Linked DNA regions of Tribolium castaneum. The protein of the gene in region 3 purifies or fractionates together with the protein of the main gene of each other region. This does not show direct contact. Links are inferred from orthologs where the notes say so. Each region holds a gene or a part of one and is shown on either strand. Other genes may lie near its edges.

Region 1 (2,337 bases), on a different chromosome or scaffold from region 3:
TGAAGTAAACGCGGTCTGAAGTTGGAATACTATTTAACCCCTTCGCTTTATTTTTAATTTTCATGAGTTGTACTTTGTTTGCCAAATTTTTACCCTTCTTTTTCGCCGCGATTAAATTTTGCTCGATTTGTTTATCAACCGCGCTCTTAGCTTCATTGAACTGCCTCACAGGCGCAGCCAGTTTCTCCCTTTTTTGGGCGAGAGTTTCCTCGTCTGGCTCGCTACACTGGGTGATATGCCGGTGTTTTATACAGAAATGTTTACGACAAGTGGAGCAAAGCAAAGGGACCAAACTAGATTCGTGACAATTTTCGAACGAGCATTTGAACACGTTTTGAATTTTTTGTGGTTCTACCTCAACATTCGTTGAGGTTTCACACACTTGGACGTGTTTGTTGAAATGTTCCGAGCAAAATTGTTTGCCGCATTTGCATTGTAAAGGGAGAAAATCTAACTGCTGGCAGTTTGAATGGGCGCATTGCTGACCTAAATTGGGGAGCTCCATCACTGGTGTTCGCTTAGTGCACTGAGGGCAATGTCGGTCCACTTTTGTTCTTGCTCCTGGAGGGTTAAGTGGATGTCTCCGGAGTCGGCCTCGGGGTCGGCGAGCTCGTGCGTGGGGACGTTGATATCGTCGTGAGGCAGCTTCTCGGAACGCCACTTATCGTCAATTAAATCAACAAAGTAACCATCAATAGTCACTGAACTGTCCATTCCTAGAAAGTGGGGTTATGGCAATTTTACACAAAAAACCTAACAAGAAATACAAATATTCTGCCTTAGAATACAGCTGTTAAAGGCACTTACTAAATTTGGGAGCACAGTGATTCAGCAAATTGCCAAAATGAACACAAATAAATTTACCTCCAAACGTTTTTTCTAGTTTCTTTTAGTTTTGTTCTAAATAATTGGCGACGCTGTGCCTGGCGCGAATTTAAATTTACTGATATTTATTTTAAGAATCAATATTACGCAGAAGACTGATTTGATACTGCGAGAAATGGACAATATTCAAGCAGCGTTGAATAAAATCAACAGAAAGTGCTACGTTATTAGGCATAAATTGAAAGCAGAGTTGGAGGAAATGGCAATTCGCGAAAGTGAAATACAAGAAATCAAAGATACGTTTGAAAGAACATTTATTACTAACGAATTATCAGAAAAGTATTCGCAAAAGAATCCAGCGGATCGTTTTTGTCGGTAAAGACATCCCCACTTAAAAAACTAATTTTAAGACTGTGGTGTGCCGGACAGGTTTATGGACGAAACTTTTAAAAAAACTGGCGCTACGATTGATAAACTGCGCCTAAGGACGAGCTCTCTAAAAGTGCAGTACCAGAAAATATGCGCTCAATTAACGCAGAAGAAGTTACTGGGCGAGCACTTGCAAGAGGTGGATTTTGAGCAGCTCGAAATTGATAATAAGCACTTGAGGGAGAAAATCGATAAAAGGAATTTGCTGCTTCTCGAACTGAAAAGAATGAACGGCCGCGCGAATTTACTGCTGAGCAATCAGAAGAAGCATCTGCTCAAGAAAGTGACCGATCTAAAAGTGTATCAAGACACAATCAAAATGCAAGAGGAGTTGGTTCGGAAAATCGACGACGAATGTGAAAAGGTTTCCGAAGAACTGGAGGCAACCAAGGAAGAGCACGATAAAATTAAAACCAAGAGTGAAAATTACGAGGTTCTTGCTCGAATTAAGCAAGTGAGTTTGGCTATCGTACCTTAGGTTCCTTCTGTTTTAGAGTATGTGAAAAAGAAAGCTGAGTTGGGCTTGCTGAAGAAAAATCTAAAGATTTGGGAGAGACGGAAACAAATCAAAGAAGTATTTGTGCGTGCAAGTGGTGTTCGTTTTTAATTTTGTTTTCAGATGGCACTTACTGCCTCTGTGAGGGAAATGAAACACGCGACGGGCTTACCAGCTGCCAAATCTTCTTGGTTTATGTAAGTCTGTGCCGAATTTGATTCGGTTTGAAACTTTTGTAATTGCAGTAATCCTCATGATATGCATCGCGGAAGAGGGTCAGTTGAAAGCACATTTGAGTTTATGTTTGAACGCAAAATGAGGCTTTCGCTGATAATGCAAAAGAAGAAAAGTCGTCGTCGCAAGACGCAGTAATGTAATTATTTTATAAAAATACAAAAAACGTTGAAATAATATGTGCAACTGGTCGGTCGTTTATTACTACCAAAAAAACTAAAACATGTAGGTATAGGAAATGGCAACAGAGAACATTGAATTGTTTGAAATAAATTGCGGCAATATTACTAAGCTTTTAAATGGAAATATTAGATGAAAGGCTGCATTTTTGATAAAAGTTTGTTTGAGCTTAA
Region 2 (4,250 bases), on a different chromosome or scaffold from region 3:
AGCGGATCAGGTCCGTCTTCATGCAGTTCAAAGAGAATTGGGCAGAAACGGACAACTGTACTGCACTGTTTTCCAGATGGAAACAAACAAATTGGACTGAAAAAAAATTAACTAATTAATGAAGCCGATTAATAATTTTTATTCTGGCGTGTAAATTTGAAATAATACAAAATTAACTTTAACAGCTCAATAAAATTACGCTATTACTTACCTTCCCCAGTTATCTACTGCAAAAAGCAAGGTACAGTTGAGAATTTTTTTACAATCCTCGATTTCAATGCGACCTGAAGGAACAGCCAGGAGAGAACCATCAGGTGAAAAATCTAAGCGTCTGAAAAATGACTTGAACGTGTCATCATGAAAATATTTCACTTCTTTGTTGTGAAGATAATGATCTTCCGGCACCGGTAATAGACCCTTGTGCATTCTAGCCTTCACCTGTTTACCGGTATTTTCAAAAATGCGGCAGATGCGGTCGGTACTGATTGTGGCCAAAAACTGACCTCTGGGATCCCACGACACGCCCTTCAAATTTCGAAAAATTACAAACACTATATTTTTATTTAGCAATAATTTACTTGGACAAATCCCTTGTGGTCGGTTAAAATCTGTTCATTTTTGCCTTTCTGAAAATCCCACAAAATGGCAGTGTTGTCTATAGACCCCGATAGAAGTTTTGAGCCATCGGGTGACCAACACAAGTCGTAAATGTCTTCCTTGTGCCCCCGCATTACTTTATGCACTATCCATGTCTCTTTATCGTTCGTTTCTCCTTCCAGTAGAGGGATATTATCGGTTTTAAGTTGCCAAATAATGATATTTGCGTCGTCATCAGCTGTCGCGAGCTGCTGCCCCCCTGGTGACCACCGAACTGAATTCACAGCTCTTTGGTGTCGTGTTAGATCAGACAAAGCCTCGATTTTAACACTACCGTTTTCGTTTATTGTTAATTGCCAAATCTGAAGCACAGCGTCACAAGACTTAATTTTTTTAAACCGAAGCTTACCAAAACATGACAATCGGCACCACCAGTTGCTAACCTATAAAATTTCTCCAAAACGGGTTGAATATGAACACTCAAGACGGGCTCCCGGTTGTGCCATGATATTTCTGGTATCGAACACTTCATTCTACGTTTAGCGGCTTAAATTGTGAAATACGAATAGTAGCAGACACAAACAAGGCGTTTTTTACACAAAACAACAACCCAATAAAAATATTACGACCATTTGGCGCCAATTTACTAGTCTCCTCGTTGGGGATTTTGTTTTTACAAATGTAATTTTTTTGTATAAAAATGAGCAATTCTATTGAATGAATTGAATTAAATTACAAACCTTTTCGTGAACGAATATAAATTAACACAAATTAATAAAAAATTAAGCAAATACTCTATTTAACAATTAAATACTCAAGTAAAGTCTGTAAATTCTAGTAAATTTAGGTTTCTTTCATTTAGATTGCCAGCGCTGTCTGTTAAGTTTGTGAAGGTTAGAGGAGCCGATTCGGTTTAAAAAAAGCGTTTTTTAATGAAAAATAGTCGTGATTTATGTTGGTTACCATTCTGATTCATTATTGAAATTTAGCAAATCTGGATGAGAAAGTAGAAACAATGATTGCTGCCTCAGATCCACAGGTTCGTGGGTGCTCTCACTCAGTCAATATTTTGCGTAAACTTTTCAGGAGTTTGTTCCAAGTGGACGGCAGCAAACATTGAAACACCCAGGCCCCAATGGGGTGCCCCCGCAAAAAAATTTAGGCCAAACTGAGGACCTACTCCTTGATAAATTTGAAAAGGTTTCAATAAAAGAGAAAAAAGACAGTGAATGGTGGATTTTGCGGAAAACCCCCTTGTTTGAGTCTGCGGCAAGTTGGTGCTACGGGACAAAAGACAGTTCTTGTACTAAAGTTAGTGTGAATCAGGACTGTAAAAATGACAAGTCTTACAGCTATCAAAGCTGCGATCATTCACAAAAGACTAGCAAGAGAATATCTGAGAGTTTTTCGAAATTTTCACTCAAGCATGAAAGCTTGGCTCATGGGGGTACGTGGGACCAATTTTTTGCATTTTTATTTTTTTTTTGATTCCCAAGGGCCAAGCTATGAGGGTTCTTTTGCCAAAAGTCACGTCAGTTTTATGGAGGATGAACTCTATGTCAAGGGACACACGGCAGTGTGGTCCCGAGGGCTAAACAATTGTGACAATTTAGACAACGGTAGAAAAACAATTTGTGCTTACACTTCCCTTCTCCCTATAAAACACGCCGCTTGGTGCACTTTCCACTGCGAGCACCCCAGATATGAAACCGACGCTTTTCCTTTTTCTAACAAAGAAGAGGAAACTAAAGGCGTGCCGGTTCCTGCAATTTGCATCATAAATGCCCATAATATTCACGTTTTCACCCAAAAAGGTGAAGATTTCGTCACTGCTATCCCGTTCCAAATTAGCAAAATGTGGAATACGAAGTACGGAATTTTTCTCGAACGGGAAAACGAAGGTTTGCATTTTGCATTTTTTTTCATTTATTAACGCAATCTTTAAAGGCCACAATTCTACAACGTATTTTGAAAACAGAGCTTCGCTCTATTCCTTAGCTTTTCCCTTTGATGAGGTCTGTCCTGTTGCAATAAATGTTGGCACACATATCCAAGTCCTGAATAATAATAGTTTTAAATTGGTTTACACCAGCGAAAATCCAAGCATTTGTATGATTTACGATACTCAAACCAGGCAACACAGTGTTTACGTTATTAGAAAAGTAACAATCAACGAAAAGGTAGAGTTTGCAAACAGGATGAACAGCACTTTCCCTTCAGCCACCAGTTTATCTAACAGGGTAAAAGAGATTAAAAGTCGCACACTTGCGATAATTAATAATTACAGTTGAAAAGTCGTCTTTCAATGTGGGATTGCGGAAAAAACTCGAATTATTTAAGCGTCCCCAGCCCTATCAATAGCCGGCCAGGAAGCGTAGCAAGTTTTTATAACCAAATGCACCACTCGAAATCGCACAGCTCAATGGCCACAATCAGGTTGACCCATTTTTCCAAATTTTATAATACGAACTAATTATAGCAAGTTAATCGGTTTTGTTACTGAATTATACTAAAAGTGTAATTTGGGTCTTTATAGTCGATGCCAGTCACCTGCCACTTCCTCTATCGGAAGTCCGTGGTTGCAGAGAGCTTCGCGTTTGAACACTTCTATTCCAAGTGGGCCCAGTTATTGTGCACCAAACAACTGTTCGTTTTTCGACTGTTCTAAACTGATGTCTTACCTGCACACAAACCCTCTTATTTGTTTGGACCACCTATGGACTGATCCGAATTTGACTCAGTAAAGTTTTTTTTATTTAAAAAATATTCAATGATCAAGTGATTATTGTAGAGATGATAACATGTCGAGTGCCACATCTAAAGTATTTTTGTGCGACGACTTGACACACCAGTGGTACCTTTGCTACATTTTACCAGTGAAGTGCCAGTTGTGTTTAGTCCAAATCGACTTTACAGACCCGAGTAACATTCGCTTTGGAATGGTTAACAGTTTGAGTGTCAAAGACGCAGTGCCTATTCCTGTGAGTATCACACATTGAATTTTTTCCTAATTGTAATTAAGATGTGCCACATGTTGGCCGTCCTGGAACACAACGGCAACGTCAGCCTCTACTCTGGCCTTACCCTAGTGGGGAAGCTGCACATAGGGGGCACCCTCGTCCAGCACACCCCCTCGCCCTACGTCCGTCGCAACCTGGCTCAGTTTAACTCACCTTTCCCGAGGTATTTCCCAATTAAAACCTCCAAACCGCTCAACTTTGCCATTCCAGACGGAGCAGTCTTTTGCCCCATTGCAAACAACTAGACCCCAAGTTTGACGACCATTTGCTATCACCGGTGTTACCCGAGACAACAAACGTGTCTAACATCCTCCAGCTGAACTTCCAGCACGAAAGCAATTTGCCCAAAGCTGTCCTGAACGGTTTACGTGACCCGATCGAAAACCGCATCACTTTACGATACTCTGATGGCACTTACTACAGAATCACTCTGCCCCCCTTGACTGCACACCCACTAATTGAAAATTGTGTAATGGCGTTAAAGCAGTGTCTAAACCGTGACACCATTTCGGTGGTTTTGACCAGATGGTACGCCACTCGGAACGCACCAGGGGCCCAAGACATGAATCTCGAGCAAGAATGGAATGCGTTTGAAACGCTGCTTTTAGGTAATTTGGTTTCGTTCTAAATCGT
Region 3 (4,424 bases):
AACATTCATACACAGAATTATTTAAAATAGAACAGCATTGATCTAAAAAAATTAATTATGACAAATGTATTTGCCTATAAACGTCTAAAATTATAAAAGTTTCGCATGCAGTCAATGGAAAAATAAAAATGCATGTTTTTATTTAAACAGAAACTGGCAATGTGAAATTTTGGTGCGAAAATTAGTGGTATCGCAATGCGTATAGCAACATTGTTTGTTTGTTTCGTTTTGTTGAAAATTCGGTAGGTTTCAAAAGTAGGGTTATGTTGTCACCCGAAAATGACAAAATTTACACTTTTATGAATTTTGTCTCCATCTCTGCCCTTTCAGAGCGTTATGATAGGATATTTAGGGTCGAAATCTCTACCTTTATTATGTGCTATTGCCAGATAAGGACAAAAGTTCAGAAAGTAGGGTTAGGGTGTATTATGCTCTCTTCTGAAGTGTTAAATTTTAACTTTAATGTTTTTTGTGTGCTTTCCTGCTCTTCTAGAGCGCTATTAATTATTATTGAACATGTTTAAGGACAGACAAATCTACCTTGAGTCAACGACATAAATTTCAGTGAGATTTATTGAAAAATGCACTTCTCGTGTCAACCTTTTCATGAAAAAGGGTGTTTAAACGTTTATAAAGGGTATGTTAACGTGTGTTGTTAACTTTACCACGTAATAAAACATAAAGTATAACTTGGTAATTTTTTACTTTAACTACTTCTGGATTTTCAAGCTGAAACTTACACCAAACGATTCCTCTGAGTGCCCTGATGACCGTACACTATGAATTTTCTTGTGCAAATTGAAAATTACATTAGAAAAATAATTTTTATTTTCACTCACTTTTTACTTGAATCGCCATTTTTGTTGATTTTAATTTGAGTTTATTTTTTATAATATCACGTTAATTTTTATTATTATAGTGGATCAAAGTGTCGTCTTTAGGTTAGACTATTGCCTACTATCGGTTAGGAACAACATGATCTCCAAAAATATAACGTAGTAATGAGCTCCAGAAGGTTTACGTAGATAGGTGCGTTTTTCCCAAAAGTGAGTTTTTTGAGATCGAACCGCAAGTGAGTCACACTGCGAGGAGACTCCCATAGACAGAAGTTGCAAACATAAGGTGCCAGACCGGTGCCAGTTTGGCTGATTGCAAGTATGTCTTTATCATCGATTCGGTGACGACTATTAGTTTCGTAAACTTAATGGATTTAATAAATATCTTTAACATTAAATGTGATCGTGTCATGTTGGGTAAAATTCTTCCATCTGTGCTGTCTGTGGATCCACCTTTTCAAATACAATTAAGAAATTTTCATAATAATTGTATTTGATAAGGTATTGGCATCATTTTGACGTGAGCAAAAATTAAAAAAATATAAAGTAATCGGAATTATTTTAAATTTGCGCCATTTTTAGTACGTGATGATGCGGCTAGATGGCTTCAGCTAGGAATTCATTGCCAACCATTATGTTCCGCTTCTATAAAAGTGTTATTCTAGGAACAGAACCTAAAAGTTTGTCAGTTTTTTACGTTCAGCAATTATTATTTTTACAATGAATAATCAAAACCTGGACTTAAAAAGTGCGTGGATTACGATTAAAGAAGCTTTTCCAATCTTAGAAAGTCCTTCAAAGATCCCTGATAATGATTTCGACTCTGCCCCTTTTGAGGCAATCAGCATTATCAAAAGGCTCAATTTAACACAGCAAATTCAGGATTTGGTCATAATTAAAATAGAAGAACGTTTGAGGAAGGAAATAGTCCCAGATTTTTGGTCCCACTTTAAGAAAACCGAGAACGAGGCGGCAGTTTTTCACGAGTTCTACAGTGTGGTTAAATTTTTGTTTCACAATTATGTGCAGCTCGATTTAATTATTAACAAGTTGATACTGTTGAGAGAAGCAAGCAATTTCACTAAACCAGTGTACAATCAAACTTGCCTGCATGAAGCTTTAAAATTAATCGTTAGGGCCGTCTTGTTATCCCAACTCCCCATTGATCATGAATGGATGATAGTAAATTTTTACGAAACGGCGCTTAAAATGCAGGACCCGGAGGAAGAAAATAGCACAAGTGGGGAGTGTGTTGTGTGCATGCAAGAGGAATTTTCCTGTTCTTGTCGTGAAATGTTTGAAGAAACTAATAAGTAAATAGTTTTGTTTTTTATTTTTTTACTCAAATATTTGTGTCTAGGAAATTGGGCAAGATGACTTTATTGGAACCGTTAGTTGGCCAGGCTCTCACTGATTTAATTTATAGTTACATTCAGACACATATCCAGAAAATCTGTAAAGACAATTTTGATAATTCGCACATTGAGAGTCTAGAAAAGGTAGAAATCAGTCGTTTCTTGAATCGATTATACGAATTATTTTCAGTGGCTTCAAACGGTTGTTATTTCATGGTTGAAAAAAATTTACTTTCATAATTCGGCAGTCAAGGCCATGGATGAGTTTGACAAAAAACTAATCAATTATTTATACAACACTTACACCAAAATACGAATAGATCAGTTATTTAACATCATAATTGGTAAAAATTATTGTTTTTGTGGCAGTCTGTCATCAAATATTTTCAGAATATCCTGATTCTCTTCCGGCCCTTGACGACCTTCGACTATGCCTTCCAAAAACCGACCTAAAACCCCACTTAACTCGGTCGTTGCAAAAAGCAATTGAAACAAGATTATTACATCCAGGAGTAAGCACGTTTGACGTTCTGACGGCTTACGTGGCTACAATTCGGTCATTGCGGATTTTGGACCCCTGTGGACTGCTTCTAGAGACAATTACTCAACCGGTTCATCAGTATTTAAGGAGTCGGGAAGACACAATAAGGTTTAATAATTAAAAAAAAATGGTCTAGTTGGCATATTTGACGTTTAAGTGTCAAATTTTCATAGCTAACTGGAATTTCGGAAAGACAATAAATAGTGTAGTTGGCCTTGAATGACATTTAAGTGTCAAATTTCCACAATTAAGGGGCACTTTGTGTACAATAATTCCGAAATAGGGCGAAATTTTTAATACAGGTGTGTGGTGGGTAGTTTGACTGAAGAGGGCCCAAATGATTTAGCTGAAGAGCTGGTCCGGGGCGAAGCCGTGCAAGTGGACGAGAACATTTCGGTCGATGAGGGGGTTGAAGACTGGGAAACGTGGACCCCAGATCCGGTAGATGTCGTCCCCAGTAAGTGTCTTTTTATCGCTTTGAGGGAAATCGACGTTGGCATTTCCATAGTTTTGAAACAGAGAATAGTCACTTTTGACAAATGATTTTTTCTTCTTACGGTGACAGTTTATTTAAATTTAATAATTCTAGTGCTTAGTCACCAACCAGCAAACTAAATTATAAAAAAATATTTATTTTTGAGTTATTTGTTACAAAAAAATTGTACTTATTAACTTGTTTAGGTGCTAATTTCCTATATTTGCAATTCATGTCCTCCCCTCCTCTCCCCTCGGTCGTGCTGTAAACCACCTGCTTATGTGAAAAATTGCTTTTTTAAACGATTTATTAAATAACGACAACTGATTTTTTCCATTTACATTTTACATGATTATTTATTGTCCTCAAGAAGCCCAAAAAGTTGACGAAACGTAAGCAACAATTATAAACCAAATAAGCTTTGTCTGCCTTCCCAATAATAATTAGACTTATCCCACGTATAATATAAATAACTAATTCCCTCGAAAAATTAAGGCAAATCTTCGGGACTTCCCCGCACTTCTGACATCATCTCAATGCTTGTCAACGTCTACGGCAGTAAGGAGCTGTTCGTCAACGAATACCGCACCTTATTAGCCGATCGTCTTTTGTCGCAATACTCCTGCGACACCGAGAAAGAAATTCGTTATCTTGAACTCCTGAAGTTGCGCTTTGGTGACTCCCAACTCCACTTTTGCGAAGTTATGTTGAAAGATATCGCCGATTCGAAGCGAATCAATCAACATATTCAGCAAGACTTGAGTTATTCAGACGATGATATTCCCATGTCTGCCATGATCCTAAGCGCACAGTTTTGGCCAGCGTTCAAGGACGAGAAGCTTGAACTCCACGAAAAATTGGTGAAACAGATGGAGAGTTACACTGGTGCTTTTGAAACTTTAAAAGGTAGCAGAACCCTGTGTTGGAAAAATCATTTAGGAATTGTGGATCTTGAAATTGAATTGGCGGATAGGACTTTGAATTTGTCGGTTTCACCGGTGCATGCGACGATTTTGATGCACTTCCAAGATCAGAGTGAGTCAAAAAGATCAAGATTTTAAGCGACTTATTTTTTCGTTTCAAGATACTTGGTCTTTGGAAGCTTTGAGTAAAGTAATGCACGTTCCGTCGACAATTTTACGGCGCAAACTGAGTTTCTGGCAATCACACGGGATCATAACTGAGCCCGAACCCGACGTTTTTTATCTACAGGAGGA

What was found. The genes of interacting proteins can lie anywhere in the genome.
Region 1: the proteins of mr (region 3) and anaphase-promoting complex subunit 13 purify together in Homo sapiens (affinity purification with mass spectrometry; 3 studies listed by BioGRID and IntAct, counting the BioPlex papers as one, with this or other methods). This does not show direct contact. The link is inferred for Tribolium castaneum from reciprocal best matches to the Homo sapiens genes ANAPC2 and ANAPC13.
Region 2: the proteins of mr (region 3) and shtd fractionate together in Homo sapiens (co-fractionation; 8 studies listed by BioGRID and IntAct, with this or other methods). This does not show direct contact. The link is inferred for Tribolium castaneum from reciprocal best matches to the Homo sapiens genes ANAPC2 and ANAPC1.

The regions. Positions count from the first base shown.
Region 1 is NC_087396.1:19,126,151-19,128,487, forward strand, and holds anaphase-promoting complex subunit 13, read right to left. Parts: upstream 942-2,337; 5' UTR 808-941; intron 717-807; 5' UTR 715-716; coding exon 505-714; downstream 1-504. Other genes in the region: uncharacterized protein LOC100142251, read left to right, coding at 961-1,200, 1,255-1,687, 1,733-1,828, 1,874-1,947, 1,996-2,120; AN1-type zinc finger protein 1-like, read right to left, coding at 1-505. UniProt on the Homo sapiens protein: Component of the anaphase promoting complex/cyclosome (APC/C), a cell cycle-regulated E3 ubiquitin ligase that controls progression through mitosis and the G1 phase of the cell cycle.
Region 2 is NC_087397.1:4,714,695-4,718,944, reverse strand, and holds the start of shtd (anaphase-promoting complex subunit 1), read left to right. Parts: upstream 1-1,450; 5' UTR 1,451-1,612; coding exon 1,613-1,636; intron 1,637-1,683; coding exon 1,684-2,044; intron 2,045-2,093; coding exon 2,094-2,498; intron 2,499-2,544; coding exon 2,545-2,837; intron 2,838-2,884; coding exon 2,885-3,033; intron 3,034-3,133; coding exon 3,134-3,337; intron 3,338-3,388; coding exon 3,389-3,578; intron 3,579-3,619; coding exon 3,620-3,780; intron 3,781-3,827; coding exon 3,828-4,225; intron 4,226-4,250. Other genes in the region: Caf1-105 (chromatin assembly factor 1 subunit B), read right to left, coding at 1-96, 212-525, 579-959, 1,007-1,129. UniProt on the Homo sapiens protein: Component of the anaphase promoting complex/cyclosome (APC/C), a cell cycle-regulated E3 ubiquitin ligase that controls progression through mitosis and the G1 phase of the cell cycle.
Region 3 is NC_087394.1:29,189,102-29,193,525, forward strand, and holds the start of mr (anaphase-promoting complex subunit 2), read left to right. Parts: upstream 1-1,461; 5' UTR 1,462-1,556; coding exon 1,557-2,149; intron 2,150-2,196; coding exon 2,197-2,335; intron 2,336-2,381; coding exon 2,382-2,535; intron 2,536-2,581; coding exon 2,582-2,840; intron 2,841-3,034; coding exon 3,035-3,189; intron 3,190-3,702; coding exon 3,703-4,242; intron 4,243-4,291; coding exon 4,292-4,424. UniProt on the Homo sapiens protein: Together with the RING-H2 protein ANAPC11, constitutes the catalytic component of the anaphase promoting complex/cyclosome (APC/C), a cell cycle-regulated E3 ubiquitin ligase that controls progression through mitosis and the G1 phase of the cell cycle.